Tamandua tetradactyla: one gene and its partners. The protein of the gene in region 1 interacts with the protein of each later gene in a pairwise test. Links are inferred from orthologs where the notes say so. Each region holds a gene or a part of one and is shown on either strand. Other genes may lie near its edges.

Region 1 (7,924 bases):
CTGTATCCCTCCACCTCGCTCTGCCCCCCTGCACCGCCTCTGCCCTGTTTTGAGGGTATCTCTCTTTCTCTCTGTCTCTTGTTTCTTGGCTACCCTCTGTTTCCTTCGGTGACTCTGTCTCTCTCCATACCTCTAGAACTGACTGCCTCTCTCCCTTTCTCTCCATCTCTCTCTCTCTCCCTCTCCATCTCACCTCCCAGGGTCTCTCTGTCTCTTTTTCTCTGCTCTTGTGTCTCTCTAGGCCCGTCACTCCCCATCTCTCACTCTGTGTCTCTCTTCCTTTGTCTCTCCAGGTTGGGTGGAGAAAGAAACCTACTACTGACTTCACCCCGTTACACAGTCTGTCTCTTCCCAGCCCCCCAAGCCCAGGACAGCCCTGTCCAGTGCCCCCCGTTTTATATTCTGGGGGGAGGGGCCCTCTCTCCCTGTGGCCCCACCTTGGCCCCATCCCCCCCCCGAAGTTATCTCCTGCCCCTCTCCCCCAGGCTGGCTGCTCTCCCCCCACCCCTGCCCCCTGCCTCTCTCTCTCCCTCTCCCTTTTCTGTGTCTCTGTTTCTCTCCCTTCCTCACCCTTCCATCCCTACCCTCCCTCCCAGCCCTCTCCTGGCCTCTTTTTTACTCCTTTCACTCCCCGACTGACGCCATCTCTGGTTCTGGACAATTATCAAATATATCAATGGGGAGAGAGAAGTGGTGTGCCGTGTTGTGCTTGCTTTCCAGACTAATGGTGCTGGGGGGACCGTGTCCCATGGGGGTTCGCGCTGCTGGGTGATTCACACAACTCCAGAAATTTAGCCTGGCTCGTTCGTGAGAGCCACAGAATCTCAGTAGGTTAAGGAATCCGCAGGGTTTAGGATGCAGTGAATGCCAGGGCAAGAGCAGCTTGAATTCGTCTGGTGATGGGATTATAGTGTCAGCGCAGGGAAGAGGCTGAGAATAAGAGTTAGGACTGTGGAGTCGGGGACCCTCTCATATTGGAGTAGGGTCTCCGGGAGGTGGTGGGGATGAAGATGATGATGATGGCGGTGGTCCACTGAGCTCCCACCGTGTGCGCTGTGCTCTGATGGGTCCGGCTTACATCTGAGACCCTCCCACGTTGTCGGACCTATCGCCACCCCATTCTCTTGCCTCGCTGTTCAGTATCCGATTGTGTGAATCTAACACTCTTTGTTTATCCATTCGCCTGTGGATGGACATTTGGGTTGTTTCCAGCTTGGTGGCCCTGACGGTGTGAACTGCGAGGAATAGGAACCTCCTAGTAATGTCTGTAGATGACGTGTGTGCACCGCTGCTGGGTACAGGCCTGGGAGAGAAGTTGTTGGGACACACCATAGACTATGTTTAGCTTCAGCAGAAACTGCCAGGCTGTTTTCAAAGCCCTTGCACCATTTTGCATTCCCACCAGCAGTGTATGAAAGTTCCAGTGGCTCCGTGCCTTCACCAACACTCTATATTGTCTTTTTAAATTTTAGCCATTCTGGTGGGGCAGCTACCCCACTTCCCTGGAGGCTGCCTCTAACACAGCTCAAAGACACAGGTCAGAGGGCAGGGTGGGGCCAGACCCAGGCCCACCTGGCTACCAGTGTGAGGTGTGTGGGTGGCCCGGATGCTCCGAGGGCTCATGTGAGTGTGGGTTGTTGCCTATGTGTGTGCGCGTGACCATTACAGCAAGCGACAGCTTAGGGAGGAGTGCTTGTGTCGGAGCAGGGAAGGGGCCGTGGGTGCTGGACTCCCCTCCTGGTGCCCAGGACAGAAGCTTGATCCTGACAGAGCTGTGCAAGCTTGCACCCCTCTTGGAAGGCCAGCGAAGCACTTTATTCATCTAGTGCCCCCAGGTGTTAGTAACGGTGTGGTACCTGGGAATCCTGTGTTTTATGCATGATTGTTCTGTAAATCAACAACTTCTCTAACAAAAAAGGAAAGAAATACTCACATATACAGATGGGCAAACTGAGGCCCAGAGAGGGGAGGGACTCCCTTGAGGTTACACAGCAGGGACTATAACCCAGGATCCTGATTGTCTATGCTAAGGGCTTCTGACCTTCTCAGCGCCACTTCTTCTGGGAACCCAAGAGGCTGGAGGGCACACAGGGCCATGCTCACATCCCACAGTCTTGCCAGGGGTCCCTGATCTCTCCCCATCCCCCTAATCCAGGACCCCTTCCCCCACAATCCCTCTGTCTCTGGGCCCCATCTCCCACAATTCCCCTGTCTCTGGACCCCATCTCCCACAATCCCCCTGTCTCTGGGCCCCATCTCCCACAATTCCCCTGTCTCTGGGCCCCATCTCCCACAATCCCCCTCTCTCTGTGACCCCATCCCCCACAATTCTCCTGTTTCCGGGCCCCATCTCTCAGAATTCCCTTGGCTCTGGGGCCCACCACCTCCCACAATGCTCCTAATTCAGGGCTCACTTCCCCTCAACCCCCTGCTGTAGGGACCTGTTATAGTTTGCAAGCTGCCAGAGTGAGATATACCAGAAATGGAACAACTTTTAAAAAGGGGAATTTATTAAGTTGCACATTTACAGCATCCAGGGAAAGATACTTTGGTTCGAGAAGGCCTATGATGTTCAGGGTTTCTCTGTCAACCGGAAAAGCACATGGCAACCTCTGCTAGCCTTCTCTTCAGGCTTCTTATTTCATGAAGCTCCCCCAAGGGCGTTTTCCTTCTTCATCTCCAAAGGCTTCTGGCTGCATGGGCTCTTGTGACTCTCAAGCTTTCTCCAAAATGGTTCTTTCTTAAAGGGCTCCAGAAAGCAACCCCACCTTGAATGGGTAGAGAGACACCTCCATAGAAACCATCTAATCAAAAGCTGTCACCCACAATTGGGTGGGTCACATCTCTGGGGGTAACCAAAAAGCTTCCACGCAGCAATACTGAATGAGGATTAAAGGATATGGCTTTTCTAGGGTCCACCACAGATTCAAATGAGCACAGTCTCCCCTCCCACAGTTCCTATTTCAAGGGACCCTTCTCCTACACTGCCCCTGTGTCAAGGCCCCAACTTCAAAACTCCTACAATTCAAAGTTCACCCTCCTCCTGGGGTTCAGAGGGTCCCTCCCCTATAATGTCCTCTCCTCTGCAACCACATCTCTTGCCGTGGTCCCTGTGAGACCACTATACATCATCCATGTTCCATGTCTCCCAGCCTTTGCCCAAATATGTCAACTACTCAGAACAGGTACTGGCAGGTGATGGAATGAAATCACTTTGAATCAGTTCTCATAAGGAAACCCATTTCAAGGTTGGCCATGGAGAAAGAATAACATCTTGGGAAGAGGTAGCTGGATCTTGGCTTCCAACTTTATTTCCCCAAGATTCATCTTCCCTTCGGGGGCGCTTCCACTGGTTACCTCTGCCACCCCCATCCCAGTGCTGCTAGCCCATCCATGCTCTAGGCTAACTGTCCCTCTATAGACCTCCTTTGATTTTTTGAGGCAAAGCTGGACTTGAGTTGGAAAACTTGAACAAATTGGAAAGCCCAAGGATGACAGAGGGGAAGGAAATGGTAACTAGACAATCTGACCCTCATTTGTAGCTTGGGGCCGGATAGGCACACCATCAGTAGCCTCCCTGACTACTGCTGCACTAGCTCCCTTGGCAGGAGTCATCTTTCCCCACCTCCAGCAGGAGTGCCCTCCACCAGGGCTGAAAGGCCCTACCCAAAAGGCCTGAGCATCTTGGGAGATAAGAATTGGGGCTAACAGTCACCTGGCTATTCCCCGTAGGTTTTCTCCCTTCAGTCCCAGGCTTGGAAAATTACGACTTCACTTCATGTAAGGAGCCCAGACTTCATGGCACTCCATTCATTTCTTAAGGCCCTGTTCCACTGCACCCTCTTTAAAATTCTGGTCCTGTCTTCCCACAATTCACCCCGGGGCAGGGACAGTCCACTGAGGAATTTGTTTAAAGACTTTGGGAGAACCACAGCTGGGGAACTAAAGAAAGGCCCATGCCTCAGACACCAGCCACTCTTTGGGATACCCAAGGGGCCAGAGTCCCCTAATATGCAACTGTGAAATTGGGGAAGGCTGAACTCCAGAAATGATCATCATAACATTAATGATGATACAGTGTTGACAGCAGTGACTATATTTATTGAGCATGTATAAAGTGTTGAGAACTTTAAGCACTTTATCTGGCTCATTTAACTGAATCTTCATAACTCCATGAGTGTGGCACTCTGAGGCTCGCCACTGTCCAGATGAGGATGTGAGGTTCAGAGATATGACTCAGTCAAAGCCACACAGCCTGCATTTTCAATTAAGTCTCACCTCAGAATCCCAGGTCTTTTAGTTATACAAGCTTCCTCTTTTATAAATTTGCAGCTCTTTCCCCCTCACAACTTCCTTCCTATGCCAAGGTGCGTGGTGGGCGGGGTCTAGTCCTAACCCATTGGACCCTGAAAGCCCAAAGATTGGAGGGAGGCTGTGCTTCACTCCCAGACACCACCCCCACAGCCACAGCCCTCCTACTAGCCTCTGTCCCTGGTGGGAGAAAGGAATAATTTCCCACGAATTCTCTACAACTTCGCTACTCAAAATGTGGTCCAGGGACCAGCATCATCAACATCACTTGGGAACGTGGTAGAAATGCAAATTATGGGCCCCACTCTAGACCCCCTAAACCAGAGCATCTGGGGTACGGGCCCAGGAATCAGTGTTTTATTAATTTCTAGTGTTCACAGCACCACCTTCTTCCAGGAGGGCTCCCATAATACCCTTACTCCCGACAGCTCACCTTCCCCGACTCCACGCCCCCAGCTCTAGAACTACAACTCCCACAATGCCCAGAGATTTCCACTGCCCCCCCCTTCCCTGGGACTTCATTGGGACTACATTTCCCAAGGTGATTTGCGAGCCAGTCCTCCATCATGGCGCCCGCACCTCCCAGACACCTCCAGGACTACAACTCCCAGAAGGCTCAGCGGCAGCCCTACCGTCCCCAGTAACTCCCGAGCCGTGCCACGTCCATTTCGCGGGTGAGGCCGGGCTTGGGCGGGGCCCGGGGTGTGCGGGGCCCCGGGCTCCTTTCGGTGGTTCTGCCCCTCACACCGCAGATATGGCGGCCGAGAAGAACCAGCAGAAGGATGCCGAAGTGGATGGGATGAGCGCCACGTGAGCGACCCGGCCCTAGCCACTCCCCAACCCAAGACCCGGAGTCCGGGCTCTGACCCCCTGTACCCCCGGGTCCCAGGACCCCCTATGGCAAACCTCTTCTCTCAGACACCAGAGTCCAGGCTCCCGGTCCCCTTCTCTTCGAGGACTCTGGAGTCTGAGCCCCTCCTTCCCTCCTCCCCGGGGTCCAGGAGTTCGAAGCCCCACTCCCCCAGGAGCCCGGAGTCCGGCCCTCTCAACCCTCATCTTCCTCGGGGTCTCAGGCCTCTATCCCAGCCTACCGCTGACCCGGCCTCGTCCTCCAGGACCCTGCTGCCCAAACTGATTCCATCCGGCCCGGGCCGTGAGTGGCTGGAGCGGCGCCGCGCAACCATCCGGCCCTGGGGCCCCTTCGTGGACCAGCGGCGCTTCTCGCGGCCCCGCAACCTGGGCGAGCTGTGCCAGCGCCTGGTGCGCAACGTGGAGCACTACCAGAGCAACTACGTGTTCGTGTTCCTGGGCCTCATCCTCTACTGCGTGTGAGTGCTTCTCCCGCCCGCCCTGGCCTCGCCCCCACCCGGTGGCCCTGCTCTGCCCGGTGGACCCCGCCCTCAGCAAGCTGCCGCACCCCTCGCTGGCCAGGCCCCGCCTTGTGTCCCAGAGGGTGGGGTCCCTACTCCCCTGACATCTGGGCTAGGCCTTGTGACCAGCGTGACCTGGTGTCAAGGAAGAAGCCCTCCATCTGCCCTGTAGAAGGATGGGGGACCCCTGGCTGGCCAGTCCCTGCAACCTGACCCCTGCCTCTCTTCACTCCCCTCCTTCCCAGCTTGACGTCCCCCATGCTGCTGGTGGCTCTGGCGGTCTTCTTTGGTGCCTGTTACATCCTCTATCTGCGCACTCTGCAGTCCAAGATTGTGCTCTTTGGTGAGATACCCCTTGGCCAGACCGAGCCCCGACTTCTCAACTTCTGGACTCTCTGAATGCAAACCTCAGACCCCCAAACTTAAATTTAAATTCAAGTCCCTCTGAATTTAAATCTACTCAAACTTAGATCTACCCTAAGTCTCCTACAGCTCATCTCTTAAAATCCCAGACACATTAGATGCCCCTACCCAGCCTCAGCTCTCTCAATTGCTATTCTCCAAATCCACAATGAGATACCCCAAACCCACCCTTCACCTGGCTCCTCCCCAAGCCATTCCACTCCTCCCTAATTGGTCCTCCCTAACCTCTGCAGAAAGCATCAGCTGCAGGTACCCCCATTGGACACCAGGTGGTGGCCTTACACTGGCCTAGTTCCTGTTCTCTCCCCTTTCCTGCTTCCTGAGATAGAAGCTGGAAGGTGGGACCAGAAAGAGCTTAGGACTTAGAGAAGCTGAGACCTATGGCTTTATAAAGTACCTTGTTGTGGTTCCAGCCTGGAATGAGGTTCCATTGGGCAAACAAAGGAGGACCTTCGTCCCCATCCAGGGGAAGCTCAGGTTTGGAGTGGGGGCAGGGAGAAGTTGGGATCACACAATCAGTGAGACTTAAAGTACTTCAGGGACTGAAACTAAAATTCAGGGGCCTGCAAGTCATGTACACGATGAAGGTGGACTGGGTGAGGAAGTGCTGGGCCACCCCAGGACATGGAGAGAGCATCTAAAGCTTAGCCACGACTTGTCTTCGGCCTGTTGCTGTCACCAGAGAATGCAGTAGTGTCACCCACTTGTTCTTGGAAAACAGTGTACAGGTTCAGAAAACATAGCCACAGGTCAGACTTGGTCCAGGAGCCATCAGTTTGAGTTCCCTGGCCTACATGAGTTCAGGTTGGAGCAGGAGAGCCCTGTACTGGGAAGGGGGTGCTAGGAGTTTTCTAGAGGAAGAAGGGTTGAAGGGCAAGTGGTCGGAGGCTGAGGACAAGTTTGATACTCCAGAGGAAGATGGGGATGTTGGAGAGAAGCTGTGATCAAGACTCATGGGGTCTTGGTGAGATGGGTTTGAATTAGATCCTAAGGCTCTAGAGCTTGTGACACCAGATTGTTGGGGGATGGCGGGGGAATCTGGGAGAGGGCATGGAGTGTCGGAGCCGTGCCCCAATGCCATCCACCCCCCAGGCCGAGAGGTGAGCCCAGCCCATCAGTATGCCCTGGCCGGAGGCATCTCCTTCCCCTTCTTCTGGCTGGCCGGTGCGGGCTCAGCGGTCTTCTGGGTCCTTGGTAAGTAAAGATCTGGGTGGTATGGCCAGGTGGGGACATGCAGGTGAGGGAGCCTTGCCCTGACCTGCCCAGTTTCCTACAGGTGCCACCTTGGTCGTCATCGGCTCTCACGCCGCCTTCCACCAGGTGGAGGCTGGGGATGGGGAGGAACTGCAGATGGAGCCTGTGTGAGGTGTCTCCAAGGACCCGCCGCTTCCCAGGCCAGCTCCCCTGGCTCCTTTCACCCATATCCTGCAAGGCTCTGCTGCCGGGGCCCAAGGCCCCCTTCCCATTACAAGCCCAGGGGAGGAACTCCAGCTTTGGAAATAAAGCTGTTACAGTTGTTATTCAGCAGGTGTCTCCTAGTGTCTTCTGTGTGTCTCTGTAGAGTGATGCTAGGGTACTGCTGTACCCAAGATAGATGGGCCCCAGGTGTGGGAGACGACCGTACAGATGTATAAGTGAAGTGGTCTGGGGTGTCAGATAGTGATATGTGCTGAGGAGAAAAGAAACGTGGGGAAGGGGTCATGTGTCGGGGGTCCCCATGAGCAGCCCCAAATTCTATGATTCACTGGGAAGACACACAGGACTCAGCATATAGCCAGCTCACAGCTGAGATTTGTTGTAGTAAAGGGACACCAGGCACA
Region 2 (7,989 bases), on another chromosome or scaffold:
CCCGTCGAAGTCCAGCTTGTTGGAGTTCAGGTAGAGGCGCTTCAGCTTGGTCAGCTTGCAGATGGCCGACTGGTTGGGGGGGGGGATAGGCAGGCAGGGGCTAGTCAGGCTGGGCACAGCAGCGCGCCCCCCCCCCCCCCCACGTGGCCAGGGAGCCCGTGCACGCACAGGCAGTGAGGTGAGCTGGTTGCGGGACAGGTTCAAGGTCTCCACATGCACCCACTGGTCGATGCACAGGGACAGCTCTGTGATCTGGTTGCTGCTGAGGTTGAGGCGGCGCAGGCTGGGGAGGGTGTACAGGCACTCGGGCACCCGCGTCAGGTCATTGCAGGACAGGTCTACATCTGGGGACACAGGCAGTGGGAGTCAGCAAGCGCCCTCAGGGCCTTGAACCCCAGTTCCACCATCCACAGGCTGTGCAGCCCTAGGCAAGTGAATTAACCTCTCTGAGCCCGTTTCTCTCCATGGAGAGTAGCACAAGTTCTAGGTGTAGAGCAGGTGCTCATAACCTAGCAGTACTTGCTGCATCACAACCACAACAGAATACTCATGTAGCCCTTCTCCTCCCTCACGAAGGGGTCAGGGAAGGGGGCAATCGACACCCCATCAAGTTAGAGGGGGACCCCCTGACCTGCCAGGCTGCTCAGGCCCTCCAGGCTGGTGGGCAGGTTGCTCTGGGTCCGCTGGGTGTTGCGCAGGTGCAGGGTCTGCAAGGCCGTCATGGCAGGGAGCTGCCTGCAGGGACACAGGGCAGGCTGGGCACGTGGTGGGGGCAGGGCCAGGCCCCGGGAGCAGGGGGTGGTGCCTTCGCTGGGAGGGCAGATGGGGGGCTGTATTTGCCCAGGGGGACAAGGCCAAAGGTGGCTGCAGGCAGAACTGATGACATTTAGAGGCCTGAGGGTATAGCAGGCCCCAGGCCAGGACTCCTCAGAAGGAAAGGCTGTGGGGGTGGGGCCTCACGGGGTGGGGCGGGTCCTCATGGGGCAGGGCAGAGGCGGGGCCCCGCCTCGCGGTGGAGGGGCAGGGTGGGGCGGGGCGGGGTGGACCTGAGCTGGGCGTGCAGCAGTGGGTTCCCACTGAGCAGCAGCGTCTGCAGGTGCCCTAGGCGGCGCATCTGGGGGGGCAAGCTCTCCAGGCGGTTCTCGCTGAGGTCCAGATACAGCAGGTCGGTGAGGTTGATGAAGAGCTGGTTGGGGATGGTGTCGATGCTGTGGGCGGGAGGGACGGCCTGAGCGGGCGCCTGGCAGGTGGGGCCCACGCTCCTGCCCGGGACCCCCAGGTGGACCGGCACCTGTTGTGGCTGAGGTTCAGCACCAGCATGTTTTTGGCATTCTCCAGCTCTCGCGGGCACTCGGTCAGCTGGTTGTAGCTCAAGTCCTGGGTGGGAGGGAGCAGGCCCTGGTCAGGGCATCAGGGGCTGGCCCCACCTGCCAGACCTGTGCCGGCTCCGGCACCAGGGAGGAGGCATCCAGGGGAGAAGCAAACAAGGGGATTCCAGGGCCAAAGGGAGGCAGCCCTGAGAGGAAGGGTATGGCCACTCTGAGCCTCAGTTTCCCCACGTGAAAGTGGGATAAAAATGGCCCCAGAGACCACAGCTATGGGGTGGGTGGGGACTGCGTGGTTGGGGTGACCCACCAGGTGGGTGGACAACCACTGACCAGGACTGAGAGGTCATCCAGTTTGAAGATGTCATCAGGGACTCCGGAATTCTTCAGGCTGTTGGCTCGAGCCACGATGGCCTGGGGAAGAACCGTGAGGGCCTGTGAGTCTCAGCCTCCACCCCCAAGGCTGGAGAGGGACACTTCCTTCAGGAAGGCTGCCTGAGTGCTGTCACACCTCTGGACCTCTTCCGCCTGGCAGGCTCTTACTCATACCTCAAAGCCCAGCTCAAATGTACCTCACAGCCCAGCACAGGGCCCTCAGGGAACCTTTTCTAGATCTGAGTCAAGGTTTCTAGAATGGAGCGACCAAAGAGAAATCAGTGTGTGGACTGAGAGGAAGACAGCAGAGCTGCAGTCTGCTTTCTGACCCCCTGGGTGGAACTTCCACATACCGCAGACCTACAGGAAGTTCGTGGGGGTGGAGGAGGTTGTCCCATGATTGTAAGAAGCAGTGGTAAGAATGATAATAGCCACTAAGGCTTACTCAGTGCCATTCCACCCTACTTGCACTTGGGGCCCAGGAAGCTGAAGTGACTTGTCTAAGGTCATGCAGCCGGAAAATGGCAGAGTTCACATTTGAACTTGGGCAGCCTTGGCCCAGAGGCTGTGCCCTAAACCTCTCAGGTCACTGGCTGTGGACCTGATCCTCGTTGTCCAGGGGCTCCCCTCTGACCCTCCCACCCCAACTAAGCTCACCCTACCAGCCCCACCACTGCCAGGTGTGACCTGACCTCTGAGCTTAAGTTTCTCCCCTCCCAAAATAGGTGGAAACCAGGGTTAAATGATTTACTACTACTGCGTTGTTACAACCCAAAGTGGGTAATCAGGACTTCTTTTCTTCTTTTCCACTCTGGCCTTCTCCAACTCACACGCCTCACCTTACACAAGCATTATTATGTCTTCCCTTCTTTATGCCTCGGCCCCTGATTCTCATATGGGGGTAGACAGAAATGCTGGCCCGGCCGGGGATCTGGCCTTGCCCTTCCTCTCCGGGCAGGATACCAGCGCCTGCCCCTAGGCCCCTCCCATGTCTGGCACCCCTCCATGCTCGTCAATACCTCACCCCTGTGCCTGGAGGCCTCCCCCTCCCCCCAGCACTCACCCGAAGTGATGGCAGGCTGGACAGCTCTCCATGAAGTGTGGTCAGGTTGTTGTGGCTCACAGACAAGTGCTCCTGGGGCAGGAAGGGAGACGGGCTCAGCAGGCTGGATGGGGTCCACACATGTCCTGCCCACCACTGCAGCCTTGTACCCCATGGGGGGAGGGGCCTCGGCCACGCAGGCCCAGTCTATCTCTGCCTTCTCCTCACTCACAGGCCTGACCTCTTCTTGCACACCTCCCATGACAGGGTGCTTACTCCCTCTCAGCCACCTCTGACCACGACTGTCAGAGTGTTCCTCCTGTGCTGGCCACCCTTTCCACCCAGCCCAGGCTCATTCACAGGGACACCCTCCTGCTCCCCGCCTGAAGCCCCTTACCAGCTTCTGCAGAGCGGCCAGCTCCTCTGGGAGGTAGCAGAGACCCGTGCGGTTCAGCTTCAGCCATCGCAAGCTGGTCATGGACTTGACATTCTCAGGGAAGTAGCCACCCTGTGTAGCCACGGAGTGCCATGGTAGGCATGTCTGGAGAAGGGAGGCACCCCCTCCCGGTACCCCCACTCCACCACCCACCCATCTGGGTGACCCTGGACGAGTCACTTCATCAATTTCCTTACCCATGACATGGGGCTAATAAAAGCCCTCACATGACAAGTGTTGTGAGGATGGACTAACTGTAGGTGTGGTTGGTGGCCTGAGATCTATTTGTCCCACTGGACTCTGAGCCCGGGGAGGACCCGGACAGGACAGTACCTGGCTGAGGTACGTTCCAGATTTGCACTTTGTCTCGCAGCACAGCCCACCCCCTCACACCCCCACCAGGTCCTGACCCCACTGTGCTGAGGCCTCGGCTTGCCACCCCCATGGACTCCCAGTATTCGAATGCCCCAGGTGCACATGGGCAGATGGGGGCTGGGGGGTTCGGGTCTGCAGTGACAGCCCCTCCCTGCTTGGGGGAGGAGGTCTGGGACAAAGAGTGCTCTCCGTGCCCCTGGCTGGTGTCCCCTTTCCCCTATGGCCATCTTCCCAGTCTGTAATGCAGCCTCTCCTAGTGCAGAGAGGACACCTGGAGACCCCGTGGGGATGGGGGACAGGGTGACATGCAGTCAGCCCACGCCTGGGCATGGGAGTCAAAGGTGTGGTGGTTTGCTGGGAGATGCAGGAGGAGCGAGCCCCAGGCTGACGCCCAACCCCAGGCAGAGCGGGGGAGGGGTGGGGGGCCCTCAGACCCCCACCTAACAGCCCCAGGCCCATACCTGCCCCGCACACTGCAGCCACACATCCCCCCACCAGGCCAGCTCTCAGCTGCGGCCCTTCTCTGGAGTCACAGCCCAGCCCACCCCATTCCCGATTCTCTCCAGGACAACCTCCTCTTGCCCTCCAACTGGGCAGCGCCAGGTAGGGGGCAGGGGTGGGGAGGGGGCCGGTAAGAGAGGCAGACCCACACCACCGGGGCTCACACCGGCCTGCACACCCTCCAAGCAACTTATCACGCCCTCCGGACACTCCCAGGAAGGGCTGCAGGGAGACCCTCCTCCCGGAGAGCAAGCCCGGGTCTCCGAGGAGGAAGTGTCTGGCCCAACACCGCACAGGATGTGGCCAGGGGTGGCGGCGGGGCGGGGCAGCGCGGGCGTGAGTCAGGGCCTGGCTGGGCGGTGCGGCCTCCGAGGGGCACGACTGGGGCTGGGGCGGCGTGAACAGGGGCCCGCCGGCCGGCCCAGGGTCGCCCCCGCCGAGAGGCCCCTCTTCTCGCAGCCCGGCCTGAGAGCCGTCCTCCCGCCCGGGCAGCGCGCCGGGCCTCGGGGCCGCGGACTCCGGCTCGGGGCAGGGCGCGGGGACGGTCCCGGAGCGCCCGGAGGGCCACACCCCGGCCCGGCCGGCGATCGCGGCCGCGCGCAGGGCCCCGCGGGCGGCCGAGGAGCGGGGGGCGGCTGGGCCCGCGGCGGAGGAGGCGCAGCGCCCGCGAGCAGGCCCGGCCGGCTCACCTTGAAGTCGTTGCCGCTGAGGTCCACGCCGCGCACGAACGGCAGCACCCCGGTGGCCTCCATGGCGCCGCTGTCGCCGGCGGCCGGGCAGGGCGCGCAGGGCGGATCCGGGAGGCGGCCGCGGGCTGGGCCTCCGCCGCCGGCTCCGCCCCTTTAACCCGCCCGCGCCCGCCGCACCCGCGCCCCGGACCGCCCTGCCGCGGGAACGCGCCTGCCCGCGGGGATCGCCGGGTCTCGGGGCGGGGAGGGCCTTGGCTTCGGCTCCTCTGACGGCGGCAGGGTTCAGCGTCGGCTCCGAGAACCCCGCGGCGGGACCCGGGGATGTTGCTGCAGTCGTCCGACTGGGTTTGAGGGGTTCGGGGGCCCGTTCCCGAGGCGCCCCTGCCTGCCCCAGGGCTTGGCCCGGGCCACCCTATACCTGCGGCCGCATCTGTGAAACGCTTCCTAAGGCCAGACGCACCCCCACCTCCACGTGGAACTCCCAGCATACAGCAGGCGCCCAATGGTGCACGTGTTTGCTATCCCTGCTGGGCATGAGCTCCCCCAGGTGTGTTCCCGCGATCTCCCGCCTCGTGGCCCCCCGAATGCAGCTCCCACAGGGGCGGGGTCCGGGCGCAGTCCAGCGACCCCAGAGCAGGCCGGGCATTTCCCAGCTGCTGCTGTTTTCAGCCACGCCGTGCGGGGCCCTGCTTTACAGAAGGGAAAACTGAGGCCTGTGGAGCATGGACACACCCCCTCACCCCAGGTCACCAGGTGGGCCAGCAGGTAATCCTGAAATGCCCTCAGGTTTCTGGCAGGTGACCTCAGGGCGCCCGGCAAGTGGTCCCGGGAGAAACGTGGGCCCAGAGAGCTTTCTTCACCCCCAGGCTCACTATCCCAGGGCACCCAAGTCACAACGGGCCCTGGGGGCCGCTCATTCCACGCGCCGGGACAGGCCTCCCAGCCTCCACTTCCCAGCCCGCCGCGGGCTCGAAATGGAGTCCTCGGCCTTTAAGTCGAGAGGAAGTCGCGCCGGGCGGGGGGCGTGGCCAGGTGCCCATTGGCTGAGCTGCGCAGTATTTTGGCACGTGGGCGGGGCGCTGTGCGCTCTCGTTGGAGCTCGGCTTCCTCGTCTGCGTGCCTCTGGGGGTCACCGCCCGCCTCCTCCGACCCCGGCCCCGGCGCGCGCCTCCCGGCTCTGCCGCGTTCCATTCCCAGGTGGGCCGGGCGGGGCCCGCTTCGCGCTGGGGCCCGTTCGCGGGGCCGCGACCTGGGTACGGCGGGGCGGGGGCAGCGCCTCGGGGCCCGCCGCCCGCGCTCGAATCCCGTGTTGGGCAAGCCCCTCGGTCTCCGGGACGCGGGTTCCTCGCGTGGGGGCGGGCCGGGCGGAGGAGGGAGGGGTCACGCCTGCCCCCCGCGCCGGCTCCTGGGGCTGGGGCCCGGGCCGGGGCCGGGGCCTGCTCGGCCGCCGGCGCTGGGCGGGCGCCTGCGTAGCCAGGAGGGAGGTGTTCAAATCGGTGTACAGTTCGCGAAGTGGAGGCGGGTGAACCCCCGGTGGACAAACCGGCCGCCCGGCGGACTGGTCAGCCGGCTGGCCGGTGTCCTCGCGCGGCCCCTGAGACCTCTTGTTCTATTTTTAGCCTGGGCGGGTGGGTAGGTGCTTGGGAATGAGTCACTCCCTGGCCCGGGCTTCGGCGGGCACCTGGCAGGCCGGGAGGGCTGCGTCCCCAGGGCCCCAGCCGGCCGTGACTTCATGACGCGGGCTTCGGCCTCCCGGACTGGACAGTCCTGCCTGGTGTGTGTTTGTCCCTCCTGCAGGCCCGGGGCCCCACGCTGGCCCTGTAGCCGCCCCTCTCCCTCAGCAGGTGGGCTTGGTGGGCAGAGCCTGAGGCCGGGTCTCCCTTAGAATGTGGGGCTGGGTCAGGGCCCTGCCTCTTCTCACCTGCCTGAGCCTGCCCAGAAGACACCTGCGGACTCCCTCCTTCTGATCCTTTCTGTCCACCACCTTTGGCTGTTTTGCAGGGGAGGAAGTGGGTGGCGCTGCTGACCCTGACCTTAACTTCTGGGGTGCGTGGCCTCCTAGCAGCTGATGACAGCTGTCCCTCTGTCCCCAAGCCACTGGGCAGTCTCACGTCTGAGCTCTAAAAAGCTTCCTTGCTCACTGCCCCTGCACGTAGCAGGACTTGCGCGTGCCCTCTGCTGCCTGGAGCCAAGGCCGGCCCCCTCTGCCTGTCCTGGGGGTGCCCTGTCAGCATTCAGGGCTGGGAGTGTGGCCCCTGAGTCTTGCTGAGGTCCCCTTAACTCCTCCCCACCTGTCTACACTGGGAGTCTACCCAGCCCTGGTTGGAAACCAGAGCTCTAGGGCTGCGGCAGGCTCTGAGCTGGGCTCGTGGGTCAGAGAGGACCAAGTAGACTCAGGGGCCAGCAGGAAACACTGGGGTGCCACACGCTGTATGTTTGCGGGTTTGTGCCCCCACTGCTCACTGTGTGATCAGGGAAAAGCTGGTGGTGACTCCGACTCACTCCTCTGGGGAGGAGCCAGTCTGCATGAATCCCCCTTTTCCTGCAGGCAGTGGTGTGCAGGTTTGGGGGAGCAGGGCCTTGGGCAGCACCCTGATCTCCCAAGAAACCATACACGTAGCCCTTTTCTCCTGGGAAGCTGTCATGGGCTTGACTAAGTGCCCCAGCAGGATGGCTGCAGGAGCCCTCTGCCCATCCCTGCCTGCCCTGGGCCACCCCCTGGCAGTCCTAGCTTCTCCACTGGGGCTGCCCACATGCACGCATGCACACATACACAGATGTGCACACACATGTGCATGCACACACGCACACCTGGTTCTCTCCCAGCAGACCATGGCTGAATTCTCCCAGAAGCGGGGGAAGCGGCCCGACGGTGACATCTTCGGCACTGCTGTGGACTTCCTCCTGGCCAATGCCCGCCTGGTGCTGGGCATGGGTGGGGCTGCAGTACTGGGCATCGCCACCCTGGCTGTAAAGCGGGTAAGGCTGTACTGGGTAGGTCCCAGCAGGGGGCCGGTGGGGTGCATTTCAGTCCCCCAGTAGCTCGGTGTGTCCCACCTGGAGCTGTGCCTGGACCCCGGCGACCCGACCTGTGTCTCTGCCTCCAGCTCATTGACAGGGCCACCAGCCCACGGGATGAGGATGACGCCAAGTTGGAACCCACTTGCCTGGAGGATAGCTGGAAGGAGCTGAACCTGCTCAGGGCCACGCCGCGCCTGCACCCCCAGCTGCCTCCTGTCCCCCTCA
Region 3 (7,293 bases), on another chromosome or scaffold:
CAGGTAATTTCATGTCAACCAATAAAAATCTAAAATCCTCTTTTTTCTGAGGAAGCCAAATCTTTTCTTTTGCCAAGAACCCATCTTCTTTAGCAAATTCAGCAGCACCCATAAAGCAGATTTTTAAAAATTCTAAAAGGAGTAAGATAAATTATTAGACAATAAACCAGAACAGGTTAAAGAACATTTGGGATGCACTTCTAAACATTAGCTAACACACTGTTCTTTCACATTAGCAGAACCTGGCATAAAGTGGCTATAAATGGTAGCCATTAAGACCACATTCTGGAATCAGGAAGGACATACACTCACTAAAAGTTTTAATTTAAAAGAAAGTCTAAAATTTGAAAAAATGGATTTATATCTGGTTGATAAAACTCTTCATTTCTTCCCTTCTCTTTTTCATTTTCCAAGTTTTCTCTAATCACTTTTACAATGGCAACAAACCACGCCAGAGAAGTCAGAAAAATGATTTATTTCTGGGTCTGATTCTGTTAAGTTCATTAATCTAGAGTCCTCAAAACAAAGGATAATATGATACTTCAGAAGTATTTTCCTTGTCGTTTATTAGCCATTGTTCCTTTTTCCCCTTGAAAAATTCTCCATACTCACTTCTGATTCACCAAATCTAATCACTTCTAATTTCCTTACAGGTCCTTTTCTAAGTTTTCCTTCACCAAACCAGCCAACCAGCTACCCTCCTCTGAAAATCTTTTTAGCCCAATCCGTGTCACACATCTGTAACTTGCAGTATCTACTAGTCCATGTCACACATCTGTAATTTGCAGTATTTACTAGTATTTAGCATATATACAATCTGTTTTCCGTATTCCATTTTAAGCAACTTGATGGTAAGGACTATATTCCTAAATGATATATGATAATGATAAAAAGAGTGTTCTTATAGTTTTTCAAATTCTTTTACAAACATTTGAATCTCACCACTATCCAAATAAGAATGATTCCTATTATTCCATTTTAATAAAAGAAGAAACTGATTCAGAGGTTACACAGTTTGTCAAGTTTCTGTTCAACCAATGTTCAACAATATCTGTCCACAGCACTAAATACATGTAAAATGTATGTAGCAGATAGGAAACTCCCTGAACAGCATAGGTTTAAAAACCTCAATAAAGTGGCAAATCCATGTTCTCTATTGTAGCCAGGATTAGAGACTTCAAATTCAAATGTCTGACCAGGCAAAAACACCTTTGTCCAACTTAATGCAAAACTGACTTTGTCCTTGGAGCCCTTGATAATTAAAAAGCTGTCAACTTAGCAAATATGTTGTTCTAAGAACAGTATCCTCAAATCCTTACATAAAATACTACGTTTTCTGTCTAGCACAAAAGTGGACGTTTCAGCAACAAACCACAGTATTACAAAACCTGAAGTCAGAATGCATTTTGCAAGAGCCATGTGACACACACGACCGCTAAACTCATGGGCAGAAGTGTTTAGGTGGAAATGTTTAGCAGGAATTGACTAAAGTAGCACAAAGACTCAAGTTTTAGGAAAAATTGCTCTTCTCCCTAAAAACTTCTGATACCGAAGAGGAATACCAACTAAATCCCCTCCAATTATTTGTTTACACACACACACAGACATGAGAATTTTCTTTTAAGGGTCAGTGAGGAAGCTCAACAAAGTCTTCCCAAGAAAAGTGAACACTAGTTCTCAGGAAAAGTGTCAGGTGTGTTAACATCTGCTGTGGTGACTTTTTGCGTAAGCAAGAAAAAGAAATCCATTAACTTTTCATGACACGTCACGGAACCTCATTCCCTACCTGCAAGCATTCAAGCAGGTAATCCAAAACCTACAGATCTATCATAGGTGCCATTCGTTCTCTTTCAACTTGACAGCAAAGCTTCCTTTAAATTGGCAATTTCCGGAAAATATACCTTGGTTTCATTTTTTATTTATTCGTGTGTGTGTGTATTTTACCTATAGAAGACAAAATGACTTGTGTCTCTAAAAATCATCTCCCAAATGATCAGGTTTCCCAGGAAGCCGATGGACCCCGCGAGTTCTTGAATTCTTCCAGGAAACAGAATTCAAATTTTAAACCACTTCTTCCCATCTACTCATTCTCCTCAATCCCACGCAGTCCTGAGAAACGTCCATATTACCTGCAACCTGGCGGGGAGGGTGGAAGGACAGCCAACAAGCCCAGGATTTACAAGTAAAGCTGGTTTCCACCCTGGCGATCCTGACAGCTCCGCAGAGTGCGGACGCTGGGTCTGACAGGGTCCGCTAATGAAAGAGCTCTCCCATCCTAACCTCTCCCCTCAAAAACAAGTCCTCCTTAAGCAGTCACCGCTTCAAGGAAAGCTACTCCTTCACACTGCCCTACCACCCGACTCTCAAACGCCCCACCCCCCTCAACTCTCTCGGGTTTCCTTCCTCTACCCCGGCCCCGCACTCCCGTTCTCCACCCTGAGCCTACCCAGGCCCCGGTGGCTCGCCCCGGACCCTCAGCCCCCCGGCCCGCCCTCCCCACCCCCTTCCCCGCCGCCCCTCAGCCGTCAAACAATGGGGCTGGGACTCCCGGCCGCCGACCTCTCTCGTTCCATCGCCCTCCCTTCGCCCTGGCATATGTCTCCACACTCTTTCTAGCCCTCTTGGCCGCCTCTGAGCTTCCCCAACCTGGCCCACCAACCCAGCCGACCAGTGCTCTCCTGCACTCACTATTCGGGATTCATGCTGGACATGTCACTGCAGCTGCCGCCGCCACCGCCGCCCTTGCTGCCGCAGCCGCCGCCCTGACTCTCCGCGCCACGGGTAATCTAAGGGAAGGACTGAGATAGGCTGTTCCGGGAGAGCAAACGTCTTCCCCCACTCCGTCCCCTTAGAACACAATCAGCAGACGCCGCCACTCAGCAATCGCTTCCACCCAAAATGGCCGCCGGCGAACCAGGAAATAGGGAAGCCTTCCACCGAGGAGCCTTTATACAGCTCAGAGGGCGGCCGCACCGCCTGGCATGCCGGGAAACAGAGTCGCGAGCCGCGACTGTGAACGCTGAGGGCCGACCGTGCAGCGCGGCCGCCAGGACTCCGTTTCCCACCAAGCCGTGCGACTCTGGTGCATGCGTACTTAAAGGGTTGTCGTCTGCCCCATTCCCCACGCTCTCCCTCCCCTCCCTCTCGCCCCTCCTTGTCCCGCTGTACGCTGACTCGCTGACTAGGACTTCGCTCGGACTCCCCCTAGCGGATTGGCTAAAGAGGAGCGGTCCTGGTGATGTCATCAGGGAGACGTGGCAGCAGGGAGAGTCAGCGCCCCACGGGGAGGGGGAGTAGAGGGGCAGAGGGCGGTGCGGACCGGCGGCGGAGGAAGGGGGCGGGGGGAGACCGGGACGAGGAGGGGCGAGAGGGAGGGGAGGAACAGTGTGGAGAATGGGGCAGAGAGAAGGCGGGGTCAGAAGAGGTGGAGGACACCGCCTGTTTGCGGAGGCGGGGAGGGAAGCGTGGCTGGAGACAGCGACCGGTGGGTCCCCCTTTCCGTCCGGCTTTTGCTGGCCTGACCAGCTTGAGGCTTGACTTCTCGGCTGGTCCAAGGACGTCCCCTGTGAAGTCAGAAGGGAAATAAAGGGGCCTCTGCAAAAGACCTAGTGTCTGGAAAACACGAGGCTGTTTTTTCAGTTCTCTTACTCACTCACCCAACCCCATCTGGGTCCGGTCCTCGTCCAGTGTTGGCCGCGTGCGTTACATTTTTCTTCTCTACTTCTTTCCATTCCTATTCCAGCTCTTACCACCTCAGCCTGGAGCGCTAGCCTCCGGATGCACTGTTTACCTCTAACTCCTCCAATCTCCAGTCTATCTTGCGCACACAGCCATATTTATATCCCCGAAACAGCACTTCGAGATCCCACAACGTCGATGGCTCCGCATTGCTTGGACGGCACTCTGCCCGGAATCCTTAGTCTAAAATTCGAGATCCTCCTGTTCTGGCCCCATTGTTAATTTTAGTCGATACTTAAAACTGAGCCATTCTGCAAGGCTTGAAAGGAGTGTGTTAGAAACATGCAATCCATCACTATAAAATGCTTGAGAACTCCGTGAGTAATATTAACACGTTTTTAAAATTTTTATGGTCAGCTTTCTTTAATCAGCTCAGGAATTTAAATCTCCACTAAACTTTAACAAATTATCTTGGGTTCTTGAATTACAAAGGGCATAGTATAATACATTGTCCAAAGTTTATCTTCCACCTAGGTCTAAGGATGGAGAAAATTATCTCTCGAGGCTGATTGCAAAATCACTTCAAATTCCCGTGACACCAAAATGTGGAAAGAAGGTGAATTCCACCATGTGTCTTAGTTGGCAACCTCATCAACCAGTACACAAGAATTCCTTCGCATAATGTTGATTTCTGAAATAAACATAGCCACCACCCCAGGAAAAGAAAGGGTCAATGATAGCTACCAAACTATTACTAATCTGGAGTTTTAACAGCCCTCGATTCTTCCTGCTTACAGAGATTTCGTAGAATAATAATAATAAAAAATCAGAAAAGCACTCAAGGCTACAGCCTGAGACAAAAATACAATTCCTAATTTGTGTCTCCCTTGGAGGTTTAACCGGTGAACTTCCTTTAATTGCTTATTGTCTTTTCCAACAAAGAATTGCCTCCTAATAACTTTTCACCCAAGTGAAAGGATAAATAAAACAATATAAAGCATATAGCTCAACGACTTTGGGAGCTTTCAGTGAATGTTACTTTTCTCCATCCCTTAACTTCCCTGAAAGTTTTAGGTGTGCCTGCTGTATACCAAGGACAAAGGCTTCTTGCCTTTGTTGTGATGATCTAATGCGCAAGAGCAGAGGCAGAGTGGGAATGGCAGATGGGTGTTTCCTATCTCCCACTGCAAATTGCCTGTCATTTTACATTATTTCTTTCCCAAACTTAAAATGTCTAAGCTCTTGTGTTTAAAAGCTTTACTGTTAATATATTTCATGCTTATGTATTTAGGAGCAGCTTCCTTTATCATTCACTTTAATAACTCAAAATAATTCATTAAACTAGCATGAGCCCTGTGGGCTGGCTGCTCTGTTGCGGAATGGAAACTCTTCTAGAGCTGTTTGCCCTCTCTTTCTCCCTTTTTTTTTTTCCTTTCTTCTTTTCTGTCTCTTTCCTTCATTTTTTTCTTCCTTTCTTCCTTCCTTTTCTTCCCTCTTTCTTTCTTCTTTTCCTCAAATATTTATTTCCTGGATGCAATAAATGGTTTGAAACTTGTACTTAGAATGTTGAGGAACACAAAAATGAATGATTTACGGTTCTCTGTCTTCAAGGAGTTTACAATCTAGTGGTAGAGAGATAAGTACACAAGCCAGACAAGGCCTAGAGGGGAAAATGCAAAAATAGATTAAAATGATCTGAAGTGAATAAGGAAAAAATCAGTTCAGTAATTGCCAAAAACTAGGAATGGGAGGACAGAATTGTCTAGAAAGGGACAAAGGGAACTTTCTGGTTTATGGAAATATTGTATATCTTGATTACAGCAATGGTTAGTTACTCAACTGTATATGACTCAACAGAATCGTACACCTGAAAAGGGTAAATTTAACAGCATATAAATAAAACCTCAATTTTGAATCTAATGTTCAAAAAATGTTATGAGGTGGATATACAGAAGAGGGAAATAATTCCAACTCCAAAAATTAGAGGCACTTCATAAAGTAAGTGGTATTTGAATCAGACCTTGAAAAAGGATAAAATTTGGATCATTGGCTGAAGGAGCCATTTATCCAGAATACAAGAGTGTGTGAACAAAACCATGGAAATGTGGGTCCAAGATGGTGGCTTAGTGGAGTATGGGATTTAGTTCATCCTCCAGAGCAACTAGAAAGTAGCCAGCAACAGTACAGAACAACTGCTGGGGCCACATCAGTGACCGGACACACAGTGTACCCCACTCTGGACAAGCTGGACGGAATGCAATCCCACCCAGAACCGTGAGCTCCCCAAGCTGCGGAGCCAGCGCCCCTCCCCCACAGGCTGCTTCTCAGAGGGGAAAGGAAAGAGACTTACTAACAGCAAGGGGCTTAGCTCAACCAAACCCTAATTATGGAATTAATTAACAAATTCTGACTACTAAAAATAGGGCCCCAGCTCAGTAGAACCTTGAGTAAAAGCTGAGGTTGCTGGTTTTTGCTCTGGTGCAGAGGGGACAGGGCTGATGGAAAAAGAAAAAAGAAAAAAAAAAGCATAGGTTTTTTTAGATCAGACAGCCCAAAATACTTGAAAGGGTCTGAGCCCTGAAGGAAAGGAGGGGGCACATAGGACCTGGAGATACACAGAGCAACGTACTAACTTAAGCTCTTCATTGGCAAACCTGAGGAATGGGGGTCCTGCTCTGAAAAGGGTTTTTTTTCCTGTTCTTTTTTGTGCCTGTGTATCTACAGCTTGACTGCTCTTTGGATACAACTGCAAGGCTTCTCGGGCTCCAACTGCCCCACACAAGGCAGAATTAAGCTTGTGTGAGAGTTTGTCTGGAGCCTATACCTTCCTCAGGAGAGGGGTTGGGCCCAGCTCAGGTGGAATCCCTCCCTCAAGGAATTCAGACCCTGAGGTCTGGAAAACTGAAGCAATTACAACCTCTCCTCTGTCTCAACCACATCCCTAGCCTACAGTCTCTCCTCTGTCTTAACCACATCCCTAGCAGAGAGAGTCTGCTGAAGATAAAGGTACCACATCACCTTATGCTGGTGGAACCCACAGGCTGACAAGCACCACATACTGGGCAGGATAGGAAAAAAAGCAGAGTCCAGAGGCTTCATAGGAAAGCGTTTCAACCTGCTGGGTCCCACCCTCAGGGAAATCTGACACAGGTGACTCTTTCCTCCTGAGGGGAGGCCAATTTGGTCCGGGAAAATCTGATTGGGGTCTATAATACCTAAGTAGACCCTCCTAAGGGGGGAAAAAGGCACCATACAGGCAGGGCAAGAAACAAGAACTGAAAAATTCTGATCTGTTAAACAAAACCTAAGCTGGAGGTCCAGAATAAGCTGAACTGAATGCCAAAGAACAGATAGGCAAAGACATCATCCAGCAAGAAAATCCTAGGTAAAAAAAGTGAAAACAATCCCCAGAATAAGCTAATTAAGGAAATTAAATGCCTAGACGCCAGCAAAAAGTAATGAATCATACTAGGAAAATTGAACATATGACCCAGTCAAAGGAAAAAACCAACGATTCAAATGAGATACAGGAGTTGAAACAATTAATTCAGAATGTTCGAACAGACATGGAAAACCTCATCAAAAATCAAGTCAATGAATTGAGGGAGGATATAA
Region 4 (6,830 bases), on another chromosome or scaffold:
TAAATGATTTCTTTGCCCAGTATTTTAGAGGGTGGGCTCACAATTCTAATTCAAGCTTCAGTACTGATTAATGTTGTGGTATTATACAAGCTTCTAAACTTCTCTGATTCTGTTTACTTAAATAATAATAATCCCACCCAGATAGGCTTCTTGTGAAATAAGGTGAAGCAAAGGAAACAGAGCAGAGTGCCCAGCCCTGAAAAAGTGCTCAATAATGGCATCTGCTGTGATAACCAACACAGGGATGGTAGAGGCAAAGATGATGTTAATATATACCCAGGGAAAGGGATGGGTGTGAGGGAGCACTTACTTGGGTTTCACCACTTTGCCACTGTTAACCTCTTATGAATGTACATTCACCCAAAGTAAATTACATTTCCCTTGACTTTTTAATAATCACTGCCTTAGGAACAGCAAAGATGGATTCAGGTACTTAGGGAGGTTCTTTTCTCTTCTCTGTGAAAGCATCAGCCGTGTGACTCAGATTGCTGAGTGGAGACAAGGCAGCATCCTACATGAAAAACTGGCAAGTGCACAAGAGATCTCGGAGCATCTGCAATTAGTCGACAGTGTTTATTGGGGCTTGGAAACCTATCTAAAATAATTTATGCTTTAAATCAATGACAGTTGTCAATGAGCCTGTGAGGGAATTCTTGCTTGGACTCTCTGGCTTTTACTGCAACTTACATTGATAGTAGCAAAAAGTGAAACCTCCCAAGCAGAAGGTCAATCTACTCCAATCAGTTAAAGTGGAATTACGGCATCAAGTTTACACATCACTGAATGACCATGGGTTTAGAGGTGTGTATGGTAAAATAGCTGCTAGTGTTAGGCATTTAACAAGACTATTTTTATTCCTAATTGCTGGCATTTGCTTAACTGTTTTCTTAATTCTAATTTATGTTTTTATGTTCTGGTTTGTTTACAGAGCCCATAGTTCCCAATTGCCTTTATTTGCTTAAATGTTTCTTTAATTTTATTTACATTTTTATATATGTTGCTTTTGCTTACATAACTCATTGTTTGGAATGGGCTAGAAATAACCATAAATCCCCATTGCTAATTAGCCTCATCCTCATGACTGATTAGTCAAGATTATGAGCCTAGAAGGAGGGCAGGCAGGGGAGGAGGCCTGATAGATAGTTACAGGATCATTGAATTTTAGAGTTGGAAGGCATCTTAGAGTTTAAGGCATCTTTCATATAGATTTCTGTAGTTTTACATCTTTAACGTGGAGAATTACAAAAGATTGTCATTGCTTTTGTCCTTTTAATAAAAAATAAGTAAGGGTGCTGCTTTGGCAGCACATTATACTAAAATTGGAATGATGCAGAGAAAATTAGCATGGCCCCTGCACAAAGATGACATGCAAATTCGCGGAGCATTAAAAAAAAGAAAAAAGTGAGGACTTGGTGACAGCTTTGAAAAACAAGTTAAGAATAAAGAGAGAACCCAATCAGGGATGACTGTGAGTAACCTATAATATGGGGCTTGAAAGTAGAATCAGAAATTTGACACATACCTGGGCTATAGAAGATCCAGGGATATTAACAAACCTGAGGGGGCTTCTTTCTGAGGTAAGTAAGCAGAATGGATTGTTTGGAACTTCCTCCTCAGCAGCTGTGCAGTTTGTAAGGATTTTAGCTTGCCTAACTGAAAGGTTAGCTATTAGCTTTGCAGTGGTAAGTCGTTAAAAGTACGCATATCATATGAAGGAAAGAATCTGGAGCTGAGAGGGCTACTTCTTTCATACTATGACTCCATCTGGCATTTAAAGAACTGCTTGTCTTAGATTAAACTCTACAGAATAAGAGCCATTTTTCATACCTTTGAACCAGTATTTTGATTTCAGGTAAGAGAGTTTATTGAGTTTGGGAACAGAACTTTTTTGAACCAGTGAGCCAAAGGATCCATCTAGGGTGAAATTCCCTGAATCCAAAATAGAGGAAATATGTTAAATCCCCTGCTTGGGAAATCAGGTTAAAGCAAGATCAAGTGTCCACCAGATGTGGTAGGTCCAGATCCCAAAACAGTGTGATGCTTTTAGTCATTTATTGACAGGGTAGAATGGAAGAAGTTGCATGATACATATGAAAAATCAGTGGCTGGAGTCACCAATATTAAATGATTCAGGGATATGGGGGAAAGTAGACAGGAGAAAAACAGTCTATTCCCAAACAAATGTATCTTTGGGGTAAAGAGCTCATTTCTGCAGCTTCAGTACATCTGAAAGCAGCTAAACACAAACACTGCCAAAGGAGTAGTCTATGAATTACCAGAAGTTGCAGTGTATAAAGGGTTGTAGGCCTTGAAATTAGTCCTGGACTTGGGCCTCTTTTTCTCCTCCCAAACCCTTTGACACATTCTGCTATGCTCCCCTTTCAAGAGAGAGTGTATGGTACTCAGATCCGCTCAGACTTCAAGTATACCCAGCGCCCATCTAACTGGTCACCCCCTGAGGGGCAGCAAAAGGCCCGCGCACTGGCGCCAACTCCGACTAAGCGCCTTCTCAGTTACTATAGTAATCGTGAGAGGGGCGGGGCCACCATCCGCTTTTTCACCATCACCGCCCAGGATATTTCGAACGCTCCAATTGGGACAGCCCTCTCATACCTCTGTCCCACCCCATTCGACTCCAAGCACGACGCGATTGGCCCGGGACACGCGGCTAGTACTCTGAGGGTACCACCAAAAGACGGCAAGAACGGAAAAGTGTACCAGGCTTGAAGCTCACGCGGCAGTTGCGGGGGAGCACACGGTTGGCTCCGAGCGAGTTGCTACGTGTTCCTACACGACACCCCCGACTCCCTACCACTAACATTAGGGGACTGGAGTCGGGGTGCGACTACAATGTTTGCGGGTCGGGATAATCGCAATGGACAAGGACGCGACCGCGTCGTGAGGATCCTGTGGCGCGCACCCAGGCGCTAAGGATCCGAGGCCAGAGGGGGCGGTTCGAACTCCATGGGTGGTGCCAGTGGCGGCGGCGGGAGGCGTAAGGCCCAATGAACACGCGCGCCGCCTCCGGAGGCGGAGCATACGGGTGCGCTCCCCCGCCCGCCCCGCTCGCCCCCGCCCCTCCCTCCGGGCGCTGGGGCCGCAGTGAGTGAGTGGCACTGGCAGCCTGTCAATCCCTCAGCCAAGCGGCCTTCGAGCCCGGTCCGCGGCGACTGCTGGCTGGGTGCGCTGTTCAGGCAGTGGCGGCGGCGACTTCTCCAGCCCCATCAATCCGCTGCCCGCTCGGCTGGCCGCGAAAGGACCCTCCATCGGGCTTCTAGTCCTTGTCGCGCTAGCCCGCTCGCTCCCAAACTTTCCTCCTCCGCCCCGTTCGCGTCCCTCGGCCCGTCCGCTGGCCTCATCCTCCGCGACCGCCCGCCGCCGCCGCTCCCTCCCCTGGGGCCGCTGAGGCGCGGATCCCGCCTGGCTGAGGCGGTGGCGGCGGCCAAAGGAGGGGAGTGCGCAGGCTGGCGCGGGGGGTGGCGGGCGTCCCAGCAACTCGGCCAGGGCTAAGGAGCAAGTTGCGCGGGGCCGCCCGGCGGGGCGCAGGACGACAAGGAGGCGGTGCGGCGGCCGCGTGAGGGCAGCGGACTCTGCTGCCTCCGCCACCGCCGCGGAACCCGGCGCTTCCGCCAGGCGCTTCTCCCCAGCCTCAGCGGCGGCGGAAGCCCAAGCCCAGGGCCGGTCCGCGCCGCCTCAGCCGCGGGCCCCGCCGGCCCGGCCGCCCCCTCCCGGCGCGGGTGGGGAGCGCGCGGCCGCCTCCCCCTCCCCCTCCCCCTCTTTCTTCTCCTCCCTCGCCGCCGCCGCCGCCGCCGCCTCAGCCTTCTCCTCAGCCGCCGCCGCCGCCCGCTCCCGCCCGCGCGCGGCGGGATGGACGATCAATCCAGGATGCTTCAGACTCTGGCCGGGGTGAACCTGGCCGGGCACTCGGTGCAGGGGGGCATGGCCCTACCGCCTCCCCCGCACGGCCACGAAGGGGCGGACGGCGACGGTAGGAAGCAGGACATCGGCGACATCCTCCACCAGATCATGACCATCACCGACCAGAGCCTGGACGAGGCGCAAGCAAAGTTGGTGTCGTCTCATTAAGCATCTTTTGTGTGCGTGCGGGAGCCGGGCCCGCGGCTGAGTCGCGACCCGGGGTGACGCTGGGGGCGGGGGTCTCAGTCCCCAGCGGGGAACTTTCTCCGAAAACCGGTCGCCCACCCTGGCCTCGGGGGCACTTGCCCGCGCTCCTCGACTCAGGCGGGAGTCGGAGAAAGTTGTTCTCGGGGTTTGGGACAGATTTGGTGCCGCGCGGATGTTTTGTCTTTCTTTCCTTTTCTTGTCCAGCCTTCTTGCAGCCCGGCCCCCTCCCAAGATTTAAACCTCCCGCCTGGACCCCGGTGCACACTGCTGGGAGAGAGGTCCGGGCTGCACTTGAGAGAAGTGCAACTTTCTCCTCGGGTCCTGAGCCCCAGCGCCCGGGGCTCGACCTGACCAAGGACGACCTTGCTGTGCGGGCGGTCACCTCAACCCCGGCGCGGGACGATGGGAGGCTCCCCGGCGGGTTCGGATGCGGCCGGCCAAGTTCTCCGGGAAGGGAGAGCCGCCCCGCAAACTTTGCCGAGCTGTCACCCGTCCGCTGTCCGTGGCCCGCCTGCGGGAGCAGCACCCGCTCTTCCCTCTACGGAGAGCTGACGCGGGAGCCTCTCCGCATCCGCCCTCTTCCTCGGGTCGCTGCTGCCTGTCCATGTATCAAGGCTCCCAGCGCGGGTTCGCGCCCTGCGGTCGCCCAGGCTGCTGCCTGCCGGGCAGATGAATCACGCTTCGTTCCAGCTCGAGCTTTCGCCAGAGCTTCCCGGCTGTCGCTAACTAGTCAACTTGAGTTTCTTGTTGACTTCCCATCGTTCAAAATAGCCTTTCAAAATAGAGGACCGGAATTAAGTCTTGGGTCTAACTTAAAGGAAGGCGCCATATTATTCCATAGGTGATGCTAATACCTTTGTGTTTTGCTATTTGTTTTTTTAGGAAACATGCTCTGAACTGTCACAGAATGAAACCCGCACTCTTCAGCGTTCTGTGTGAGATCAAAGAGAAAACAGGTAAGAAGCTGCGCCCCGCAGTGGGCCTGGAGACCCCTGAGGTGGGGTCGGAACTACTCCTTCGACTCTCCAGTTGAGAGCTGCTGCTTTTGGGCACCGCCATCTTTGATCATTCTCTCCTTCCCACCTCCTGATCTTGAGAAAAAAACTGCAATAAATCTGGTGTCGATTTCTCAGTTCTACTTCTGGTCTAAAATGAAGTGTAGACCCGGACGTGGCTGGGTCGCCATCCCCAGGCGGCGGCCCCTGGCTGCAGGCTGGGAGGGGGCCCAGAGAGCCAGCCACCCTCTCTGCTCCTTTCGCCTTGTTTGTGTGTCAGGTTTTAAAAGGAGCAACGGGAGACTGGATGCCAGGGAATGAGTCCCTGAGAAGCATCGCCGGAACTTTGTTTTACTTAGACAGCCTTCAGCATCAGTTCCACAGATAGAAGAATAGAGGCAATTGAAAAGACCCCAATAGCATGTTCTAATTAGTGTTTTTAGGTGAGAAAAATACTTTTGAGAAGTGAAGAAAGAGTAATGATGTATTTAGGCACATACACTATTGCATTTATTATGCTTGAAGTTATTGCATTGTAAATAGGCGTAATATATATTATAAAGTAGGAAAAGATCCTCAGATGCAGGTTGAACAGTTTTTGAAGTGTTCAAGGCAGGAATATATGAGTAGGAAGGTTTTACACAAGTGTTGGAATGAACACTACAGATACATATTACGCAAATTTTTGGCAATTCATTTCAATTTAACTTTCTTGTAAGACTTAGGCAATTGACAATGTTTTAGTCTCAATGTGATAGCAGTGGCTCCAGTGGAAATAGAGATTTAATTTAGATGCTCTTGTATGTGTTTGGCAACATCTGCCCTGTGTATGGCAAACAAATACATTAAACAATCTTTACTATTGAATATCTTTTTCTTTTTTTGGGTGTGTGTTGAATATATGGTATTTTAAGTTGCCATTTTTCAAGTTAAGCCAAAGAAGAAAAAGTTCAAGTCCAGAATATAGGAATATTTAAGTAATACTATTTAAAAGGTTTAATTTGATTGTGATTAAATTGATAGCATACCACAAATAACTGTTAGGTTGATAGGTGAGTTGCCTCCCTTTTAAACAAATTTTTCATCCTGCAATTCTGCTCTAATCCTAAAACTAATCAAGAAAAGACCATGAGTTTTTGCAGTCTATTAAGATATATGTTAAAGCCATAATTAACAGCAAATACTAAAAGAGCTTAAAGTGTGCTTTCCCTGTTTTTCATTCACGTGGCATGCATGGTTTCTTACTGTTGAGCAATTCTTTATAAAATGTGTTTTGCATTTGGAGAATCGTGGGCATTTTAAATTACCAACTTTTTTTTTGTGTTGATTTTTAGTTACCTTTAGAAAGCATTGTGATTTAAAATGGTAGATCATTTTTCTGACTATAAAATAAAATATTAAGCATTGAATCTTGGAAGATTCTTAGTATAGAGGCCTAAAAGTGCATAGTTCTCAGTAAATTATGTTGTTTAATGTCCAAGGGTTTTTTTGCTATCTGGGCTCCACTTCAGTTTCTGCTGACAGCTAAGCACTGGGGTATTGACTATGTTGTGAATATTAAGATTGATTCTACTTTGTACAGCATTATATTACTAGGGAGAGGGGGTTGGTACTTCTCCCCTTCTAGCCCCCTTCTCATGATTTATATTTATTTTTTTGTTTTTTTAAAGTTTTGACCTAGCCAGCTTGAGAACCAAACCTAGCAAACTG

The links.
Region 2: the proteins of RABAC1 (region 1) and MIEF2 interact in binary tests that used the Homo sapiens proteins (3 or more experiments, as listed by UniProt). The two-hybrid records come from large-scale screens. The link is inferred for Tamandua tetradactyla from reciprocal best matches to the Homo sapiens genes RABAC1 and MIEF2.
Region 3: the proteins of RABAC1 (region 1) and RAB1A interact in a two-hybrid assay, tested with the Homo sapiens proteins (2 studies listed by BioGRID and IntAct). The link is inferred for Tamandua tetradactyla from reciprocal best matches to the Homo sapiens genes RABAC1 and RAB1A.
Region 4: the proteins of RABAC1 (region 1) and PBX3 interact in a two-hybrid assay, tested with the Homo sapiens proteins (2 studies listed by BioGRID). The two-hybrid records come from large-scale screens. The link is inferred for Tamandua tetradactyla from reciprocal best matches to the Homo sapiens genes RABAC1 and PBX3.

Annotation. Positions count from the first base shown.
Region 1 is NC_135342.1:21,683,676-21,691,599, reverse strand, and holds RABAC1 (prenylated Rab acceptor protein 1), read left to right. Parts: upstream 1-4,919; 5' UTR 4,920-5,065; coding exon 5,066-5,121; intron 5,122-5,426; coding exon 5,427-5,639; intron 5,640-5,926; coding exon 5,927-6,024; intron 6,025-7,196; coding exon 7,197-7,298; intron 7,299-7,380; coding exon 7,381-7,469; 3' UTR 7,470-7,628; downstream 7,629-7,924. Other genes in the region: sodium/potassium-transporting ATPase subunit alpha-3, read left to right, coding at 294-322. UniProt on the Homo sapiens protein: General Rab protein regulator required for vesicle formation from the Golgi complex. May control vesicle docking and fusion by mediating the action of Rab GTPases to the SNARE complexes.
Region 2 is NC_135332.1:1,888,752-1,896,740, forward strand, and holds the start of MIEF2 (mitochondrial dynamics protein MID49), read left to right. Parts: upstream 1-4,975; 5' UTR 4,976-5,245; coding exon 5,246-5,290; intron 5,291-5,823; exon of another isoform or gene 5,824-5,996; intron 5,997-7,569; coding exon 7,570-7,722; intron 7,723-7,850; coding exon 7,851-7,989. Other genes in the region: FLII (protein flightless-1 homolog), read right to left, coding at 1-69, 169-344, 632-735, 1,047-1,208, 1,292-1,377, 1,659-1,739, 2,764-2,835, 3,140-3,250 and 1 more. UniProt on the Homo sapiens protein: Mitochondrial outer membrane protein involved in the regulation of mitochondrial organization.
Region 3 is NC_135343.1:38,325,404-38,332,696, forward strand, and holds the start of RAB1A (ras-related protein Rab-1A), read right to left. Parts: upstream 3,005-7,293; 5' UTR 2,712-3,004; coding exon 2,689-2,711; intron 1-2,688. UniProt on the Homo sapiens protein: The small GTPases Rab are key regulators of intracellular membrane trafficking, from the formation of transport vesicles to their fusion with membranes.
Region 4 is NC_135328.1:48,007,557-48,014,386, forward strand, and holds the start of PBX3 (pre-B-cell leukemia transcription factor 3), read left to right. Parts: upstream 1-3,815; 5' UTR 3,816-3,867; coding exon 3,868-4,067; intron 4,068-5,007; coding exon 5,008-5,081; intron 5,082-6,830. UniProt on the Homo sapiens protein: Transcriptional activator that binds the sequence 5'-ATCAATCAA-3'.